Linked DNA regions of Nothobranchius furzeri. The protein of the gene in region 1 purifies or fractionates together with the protein of each later gene. This does not show direct contact. Links are inferred from orthologs where the notes say so. Each region holds a gene or a part of one and is shown on either strand. Other genes may lie near its edges. The genes, in order: usp48 and uba6.

Evidence for each region.
Region 2: the proteins of usp48 (region 1) and uba6 fractionate together in Homo sapiens (co-fractionation; 3 studies listed by BioGRID, with this or other methods). This does not show direct contact. The link is inferred for Nothobranchius furzeri from reciprocal best matches to the Homo sapiens genes USP48 and UBA6.

What each region holds. Positions count from the first base shown.
Region 1 is NC_091743.1:4,791,378-4,795,690, reverse strand, and holds the start of usp48 (ubiquitin carboxyl-terminal hydrolase 48), read left to right. Parts: upstream 1-1,484; 5' UTR 1,485-1,999; coding exon 2,000-2,133; intron 2,134-2,439; coding exon 2,440-2,560; intron 2,561-2,683; coding exon 2,684-2,825; intron 2,826-4,313.
Region 2 is NC_091747.1:78,737,429-78,741,250, forward strand, and holds part of uba6 (ubiquitin-like modifier-activating enzyme 6), read left to right. Parts: intron 1-708; coding exon 709-785; intron 786-877; coding exon 878-944; intron 945-1,198; coding exon 1,199-1,342; intron 1,343-1,439; coding exon 1,440-1,586; intron 1,587-1,667; coding exon 1,668-1,748; intron 1,749-1,848; coding exon 1,849-1,926; intron 1,927-2,005; coding exon 2,006-2,187; intron 2,188-2,520; coding exon 2,521-2,626; intron 2,627-2,731; coding exon 2,732-2,821; intron 2,822-2,910; coding exon 2,911-2,991; intron 2,992-3,059; coding exon 3,060-3,188; intron 3,189-3,269; coding exon 3,270-3,321; intron 3,322-3,402; coding exon 3,403-3,466; intron 3,467-3,637; coding exon 3,638-3,707; intron 3,708-3,781; coding exon 3,782-3,822. UniProt on the Homo sapiens protein: Activates ubiquitin by first adenylating its C-terminal glycine residue with ATP, and thereafter linking this residue to the side chain of a cysteine residue in E1, yielding a ubiquitin-E1 thioester and free AMP.

The DNA.
Region 1 (4,313 bases):
CACATTACATTTATCCCTGTCCTTGTCTTCCTCGTGAAATAAATGAACGTTAATCTTACCCGGTAAAAACATGTTCGCTGCTAGTCCACTTGACGGGCAGTTCATCTCTGTCCTCGGTCTCCATCAAAGTTATTAAAAAAATCAAAACTAGTTGAGTTTACATCCTTGTCTGTTAGTGCAGCCAACAACACAGCAAGCTAAAACCATTTTACTATCAAATCAACTAAATAAAAGCGATAAAAGGCTACAAACTAGCTTGTTTTGACTAGCTTTACTGCAGTTTCAACGGGTGTAAACAATCTTTTTGCCGTCCATCATGGTGAAGGGGGAGGTCACATGAGTGGCGTGACGTCACGTGCAAAGGGTCAATTGCTGGTAGGAGCTTCAGAGTGTGTGTATGCTCCTAAGGGTAGAAATTGTATTATTCCAGAACTAAATCCCGGTAGCATATTCATCGGTAACATATGTCCTTTATTGAGGGATAAAGCCACAAATCAATGTATTAGACAAATCATTCAAAGAGATATTGTTTCCAAACATGCAGCTGTATTTTACTGGAACAATATTTACAATGATATAGACTGGAAAAACACTTGGATTCTACCAAGAAAATTTATTATAACTAATAAGATAAGAGAGGTTTCTTTTAAGTTGATCCACAGATGTTATCCGGTAAAGACATATCTGGTTAAACGTAAGAAAAATATTGATACTCTTTGTACTTTTTGCAGCAATGCAGAGGAAACAATATGTCATTTATTTTGGGAATGCACTTATACACATGTATTTTGAATTGATCTAAATAATTTTATAAACACCAAAATTGATCCCTCTTGTAAATTGAAGTTTCACCATATTCTATTTGGCCTCTCACATACCGATAAAATTATTTCAGGAAAAAAAAATATTATTAATCTTCTGATCATTTTTGCCAAATTTCACATACATTGTACAAAATTCTCTCAACAGCGTCCAAACATATTTGCTTTTAAAGCCCTGTTTTCCAATTATCTGAAGAATCTTAATAACAGTACTAACTCCAAAGCGTGTAAAACACTAGAGCTGTGCCGAATGTATAATTTCACTTGTTTTACTTGTTTATTTGTACCTTGAGCATTTTATTTATTTATTTATTTTTATTTCAAATTTTTATCCAGTTATTTTGTTAATCTGTTTTCTCCTAAAGTATACCTTTTTGTTTAAGTATACATAACTTGTTCAACTTGTTATTACAAGATGTGGAATGTTTATACCCTTTCTATATTCTACAATGCCATGTATGTTTGTTATTCAAATGTCTAAATGAATAAAAAATAATAATAAAATAAAAAAGTGCTGACGAAATGAATGAATGAATAAATAAATAAATAAATAAAAGGAGCTTCAGAGCGTAGGGGGCGAGGGCTTCCGCTGCAGAACGTGTCCTGCGTCACTCGTTCACGTCGTGTTGATTTAGAACCGAGAGTTTATTTATTTATAACTTGACGTAAGGGCGCTAAATCTCAAATAAGCTGCAAATAAAATGTGGACTTCTAAGATCATATTGATGAAGTTACACACATAATAGGTCCGATTCCATTTGTCTTCAGCACAATAAATGTGTTAGGTGTGCGTCAGTTTACGTAAACAAAGTAAGCCCTTGGCTAAATTAGGCTAAATGACACGTTAGCTTAACCGGTGTAGCTAGCTAAATATTAGCGATTTCGAGCAGTTTACTACTTTCCACGAAGAAAAGATCGCAGAACGCAAAATTGTTGTGTTGAATGTGTTGCGGCAAGTGGTGCCTGTTTTAATTCTCAATTCAATAAGAGTCATACGAAGCCAGTTTTTAGCTTAGCATCCCAGTGAAGAGTGGCTATTAACGGTCGTATGTGCTCATTTAGCTTTGGCTAGTTGGCTATGCTAGCATTGTTTGGGAACAGCTCGGACTGCTGTAGTCATTTGCTTTCTTGCCATTGTTTATTATTTGTGACTATAGTAAAGTTTGCATCGTGGGATAATGGCACCTCGCGTACAACTGGAGAAAGCGGCTTGGCGTTGGGTGGAATCGGTAAAACCAGAAGAAATCAAGCAAGAACACATAGAGCTAGCATACCGCATCAACCTCCCGGCCTGCAAGAGAGGAGCCTGCAGGTACTTTAACATTTTTAACACGATCGTTGCGCTTCGCTGCCAGCAAAAACACATTATTGACCATTTCAGTGACCAGCCTCTTATAACGCTGCAAAGACACTAGCCTCGGTTTTCAGTTGTGGTGCTGACAGCACTGCCTAATGCTTACTGGCAGCCTCATAAACAGTAAAAAAAGTTAGAAGTGCCACGTTTATGTGCTGCAGTGCTGTGCTGTTGTTTAGCACCGTGGTGCTTCAGTACCACATCCTTTTGAAACAGAAGCCTTGTTTAAAGTGGCTATGATGACCAGGACTCATTTTCCCCTAGGAGGAATTGCAGAGGGAATCCCAACTGTCTTGTTGGAATTGGTGAACAGGCATGGCTTGGGGAGATAGATGAAAACGTTTTCCATAATATTGATGATCCAAATTCAGAACGGCGGGACAAGGTACTTCTTTCTACTATCTGCTCACTCAGCTAGTGTTTCTTAGGTGTTAATACCACCATTGTTCTATCATCTAGACTAGAGCTGATACCTTAATTCTCCCTGTCTGTCTGTGTGTCTTTATAGAACACCTTTGTTGGTCTGACCAACCTTGGAGCAACATGCTACGTCAACACATTCCTGCAAGTATGGTTCCATAACTTGGAGCTTCGAAGAAGCCTTTACCAGTTCCACAATTCCCGAGCAGAGGAACACAACATTCAATCTGGTATAACTACAACTGTATCTGGGTGTGACCTTTGTTGTGACTTTTTCCAGGTTTTAACCCCAAGAATTAACAGCATCCACCTCAGATACGTGGATTTTCAGAGAGAACCAAAGGCAAATTCCACGTTACACTAGTCATTTTAATTTTAGTAGCTTTAGTTGTACTATATATGTATATATATATATATCTATCCATATATATATATATATATATATATATATATATATATAGATAGATATATATATATCTATATATATATATATATACCGTAAATCCTCTAATACAGGCCTGTATTCAATTAACGGCTGGGTCTCATATTTTGGCCGGTGTCGGAGTCGGCGGAGGTGAATAATGGCCGGTCTCTTATTGTGGCCGGGTGGAATGTGGTAACAAGCAAGTACGGGGGGCGGTTGTGTCATCGTCTCACTTTTGATTTGCCAGTGATAGACCGCGAGGGTAACTTTAACCATGCGGAGACGAAGAGGAGGCGAAAATTTGATATCAAGTTCAAAGAGAACGTGCTGATTATGCTGCAGAACACTGGGGAGCAGTAGGGGTTGTATGAACTAGTGACTAGTCGACTTCACTATAGTGACTTTTTATGCCTGTCATCGACTAGTCGCTGTCACGTGATAATGACCGGCAAGATGCAGCCCTCGGAAAAGACAGCAGCCTGCTGTCAGCAGGTGACAAGCTCCTGCGCATCGGGGGGGGGGGGGGGGGGGGGGGGCAACACGCTGTGCCAGAGCGTCGGTACTGACACGCGATCGTTCATGTCGGTTCATTTCCTTTAATGTTTTCTGTCTTTTATTTGCGCCTGATGTGTTTCGCTGCTGTGGAGCGGGGCGCATCACCTTGTCCTCCGGTGACGAACCGATCACTGATGCGGCCGCCAAGCAGCGAGCACTCCGCTGTTTTTGCGGACGGTAGATCTGCGTCCTGAGCACGGCCACAGTAACATTATCAAATTAGGTGTCGCCACCTCAAAAACTAATTTAACACGCGATTGTTCATATCGGTTCATTTCCTTTTATGTTTTCTGTTTTTTATTTGCACCTGATGCATTTCACTGTGGAGCGGGGCACATCACCTTGTCCTCCGGTGACGCACCGATCACTGATGCGGCCGGCAAGCAGCGAGCACTCCGCTGTTTTTGCGGTCGGTAGATCTTTTAGAACTGCAGTTCAAAGGTAACTCATAAGGTGAATATAAATGAACCCAGGTAGCAGTTTTTCTTTAGGATTGAGAGGAGATGCAGGAAGATAATAAACAGGCAGGACAGAAAAATAGTCAAATAAAAACACGTTAGTTTTTGTACCTGGTGGTTGCAACAAACATACACCATGGACGGTAATCAGAGGTGAGGAACAGAAAATGAAATAATTATTTTAATGTTTAGAGCAGCAGGAACTCTGAGAGGCTGCAGGCACATCAGTGAGTTTGCTGCCGCTGCGCAGGGGGAGGGGGGAGAGGGCTGAAGCAGAAACT
Region 2 (3,822 bases), on another chromosome or scaffold:
TCTCCTTTGTGGGAATAAATCTAATATATCTAAAACATTCCCACACAGGAGACTTGAACCGCTTCCTAGATGGAAATGAAGCAGTTCCTCAGTTTCACCTTTGTTTTGGTCGGTGCGGGTCGCAATGTTGTCTTTTTGTTGTTTTCTTAATAGGCGGAGTTGGAGATGTCTTTGGGGGGGGTAACCGGGGTTAACAGTCAAACCGGTTAATCCCTGCAACCTTAAGTCGGTGTCCCCAAAAGCAACATTGCACACAGGCTCCTTAGTCTAAGGGTGACACCACTGATGTCTCTGCACATCTTTGGCCCCGCCCACATACTCTGACATTTCCGCGTTCTCGAGAAGGCTGAGTGAAAGGAACCTGGCCGTGCTACCAAGACCGGGCTAGGCCAGGTTATGTTCACACAGCCTTCTGATCTAACCTGATGGATTAATGCTGGATTTTCTGGCGTGTGTAATCGGCTGTATTAACATGCTAAACTAAACCTGAGAGCTTTTCACAGCAGCAGATCAGTTATCCATACGGTCACTTGATGCCCTTCATAATTGAATGTGTGTTTAACAGTAAGAGTGTCAGATTTGCTTTTGTCCAGTGGCGAGTTAAGACCAGTTTAACCAGATAACTAAAGTAATTATAGTTGCATACTCTGATTAAACATCCAAATCCTTTAGTTAGTGTCACATTGTTGTTTTAAATCCACCCATCAGGCCCCGCTACAGATCCATGCCGCCATGTTGGCTCTGGACCGATTTCAGGAGCAGCTCTGCAGACTCCCCAACGTCGGGTAAACAGAACTAGCCCGTGTGCTTTATCGGAGTGAAGCAGGTGATGGATGGATGAGAGGAGGGACTTCCTGAACGTTTCTGCTGTTTTCAGGTGTTTACAGGATGCTGATACTTTATTAAAGCTGACTGAGGAGGTGAACACCACCCTTAAAAACAAGGTGAGTATTTTATTCCTTCTTTTGTAGCTGTTGGTTTTAGGGGTGAATGTTGGATTTTCAGAATGAACATGATGCTTCCTAGATTATAGTCAGAACCGTCCAGTAGCTTTATAATAAATACAGTTACATGTAATGTATGCATTTGAATATAAGACTACTCCTACTTTAGGTGTAAGACATCTTAGTGGTCAGCAGGTTTGTTTTCACACTGTTGATCCAGCTTCACACCCTTTGATTGCCTCTCTCCCTCGCAGGCTCCTGTAAACTCTGAGCTGGTGCGATGTTTGTCCAGGACCGCCAGAGGAACTCTGGCTCCGTTAGCTGCAGCTGTGGGAGGAATAGCCAGTCAGGAAGTTCTAAAGGCTATCACAGGGAAGTTTGCACCTCTGCAGCAATGGGTAGGGTTCTGTCAGAGCGTTGAAACGTAGCACATCGGTGGGTTTTCTCCCACTTGTAATGATCTGATCTCTCCCAAACCGTTTCTCGTGTGTTTAGTTTTATCTGGACACCTTGGAGCTCGTCAGGCCTCTCCAGTCTCTTCCCTCTGAGGAGTTTTTTCCACGAGGCGATCGATATGACGGATTGAGAGCTTGTATTGGTGAATCCATGTGTCTTGATCTACACAAGCTCAGGGTCTTTATGGTAGGAACTGGACTTTATCTGCATATGAAACACCTCTGTTCAATTGTGTCTAAATAAACGTCGTTGTTTTCTTTTTTTAAGGTCGGTTGTGGTGCCATCGGTTGTGAGATGCTTAAAAACTTTGCTCTCCTTGGTGTGGGATTGGCCAGCAGCTCTGGGGAGGTGTGCACGTCTTCCTCAGCTTCTTCCTGCAGTTTGACCCGTTTTTGGTGTTTACTGCTGTGTGTGTGTGCGTGCGTGTGTGTGTGTGTGACCTTCTCAGGTGTGCATCACTGACCCAGACCTCATAGAGAAGTCAAACCTCAACAGGCAGTTTCTCTTCAGACCCCATCACATCCAGGCGAGTCGATGCTTTAGTTCTGGCTGTTACACGAGTCGAATCAGATCGAGCATCTGATTTTCCTGTCGTCTGCGTTTAGAAGCCAAAAAGTACGACCGCAGCAGAAGCCACGCGGGAGATCAACCCAGAGCTGCAGGTGGAGGCTCACCTGCACAAGGTGTGTCCAGCTACTGAGAACATTTACAACGACTCCTTCTACTCCACGATGAACATCGTGGTCACTGCGCTGGACAATGTGGAGGCGAGGAGATACGTGGACAGGTGTGTGAAGACACTGTGTAGATGCAAGCTCCACTTAAAAGAGAGGATGCTCCGATCAGGTTTTAATCTGCCGATCACCGCTACCGATCAGTCGGAGCACCCCTAATTTGTAGTGCACGTTGCAATGTTGGGTAAGAAGATGGGGACAGACCTTCAGAACTTCTTATCTTTGGGTGGTGGGTCTCTTACACCTTCTACAGTCCAGTTCAAAAACTGATCACTCACGTGGGATAAACTTTGCTCCCGACAAGTTTTAGGTTACATATACATGCACATACCACACGTATACTTAATTCAATGCAGATGTGTTTTGTTTTTGTTTGTTTTTTTCAGCCGCTGTGTGTCCAATCAGAGACCTCTTCTAGACTCGGGTACCATGGGAACTAAAGGACACACTGAGATCATTGTGCCAAACTTGACCGAGTCTTACAACAGCCATGTGAGTTCATGGAAAAAGTTGTTTTGGTTTAATTCTCTAAAATAGCTTAATTAATAATTAATAATTCCCCCTCTACTCTAAAATCTCCATCCTTCTGCCTCCCAGAGGGACCCTCCAGAAGAGGAGATCCCATTCTGCACTCTCAAGTCTTTTCCCTCCGTTATAGAGCACACCATCCAGTGGGCTAGAGATAAGGTGTCGCTGCCTCAATAATCATTCTTTCCATACTGCACATAGTTAGGAGTCCTAGTAACTTGATATTTGTTTCTTTGGTTGTGGTCTAGTTTGAGAGTGCGTTTGTCCACAAGCCCTCCATGTACAACGCTTTCTGGCAGATGCACCCTTCAGCTGAAGCGGTGCTCCATGTGAGTTTCACCAGGAAACGCGTGTTCTTCATGTAGCACGCCTTTAAAATCTGTCTGTGTTCATGCAGAGGATGCAGGCTGGGGAAAGTCTGGAGGGGTCATTCCAGGTCATTAAGCTGCTGAGTCGACGGCCCAGTCATTGGGAACAGTGCATCGCTGCAGCCCGTCTGAAGTTTGAGAAGTATTTCAAAAGAAAGGTACTACTTTCTACCTTTATATAGCAACCATAGTGATGAGCTTCAGGCCTTATGGGTTGTTTATATGTGCTGCTCATGTAGGGCCAACAGCTGCTGCACTCTTTCCCTCTGGAGACGAGACTAAAAGATGGAAGTAAGTTCTTATGAAGTTGGTCAGCAGCTTCTAAACAACATCAGTTGTGCCACAAACGTCATCCTGACTTTATCTGTTTAGGTTTGTTTTGGCAGTCCCCAAAAAGACCCCCAACACCGATTGAGTTCGACTTGAAGGACCCGTTGTGAGTTTGTTCTTGTGTTGGTTTGTGTTTTATGCACACACACACACACACACACACACACACACACACACACACACACACACACACACACACACACACACACACACACACACACACACACACGCGCGCAGTTATCATTCAAATGTACAAAACCTTCTCTGCTCCCGTCAGGCACTTCAGCTTCATCATCAGCACTGCACGGCTCTTTGCAGACATTTATAACATCTCTTACTCCGTGAAGGTAGGCCTCACACACACACACACGCACGCACGCACACACACAATGACCTCTTGCATGGCTATTCTGTTCATCAGGATCTTTCTGAAGAGGCGGTGTCAAAGATTCTCTCAGGTGT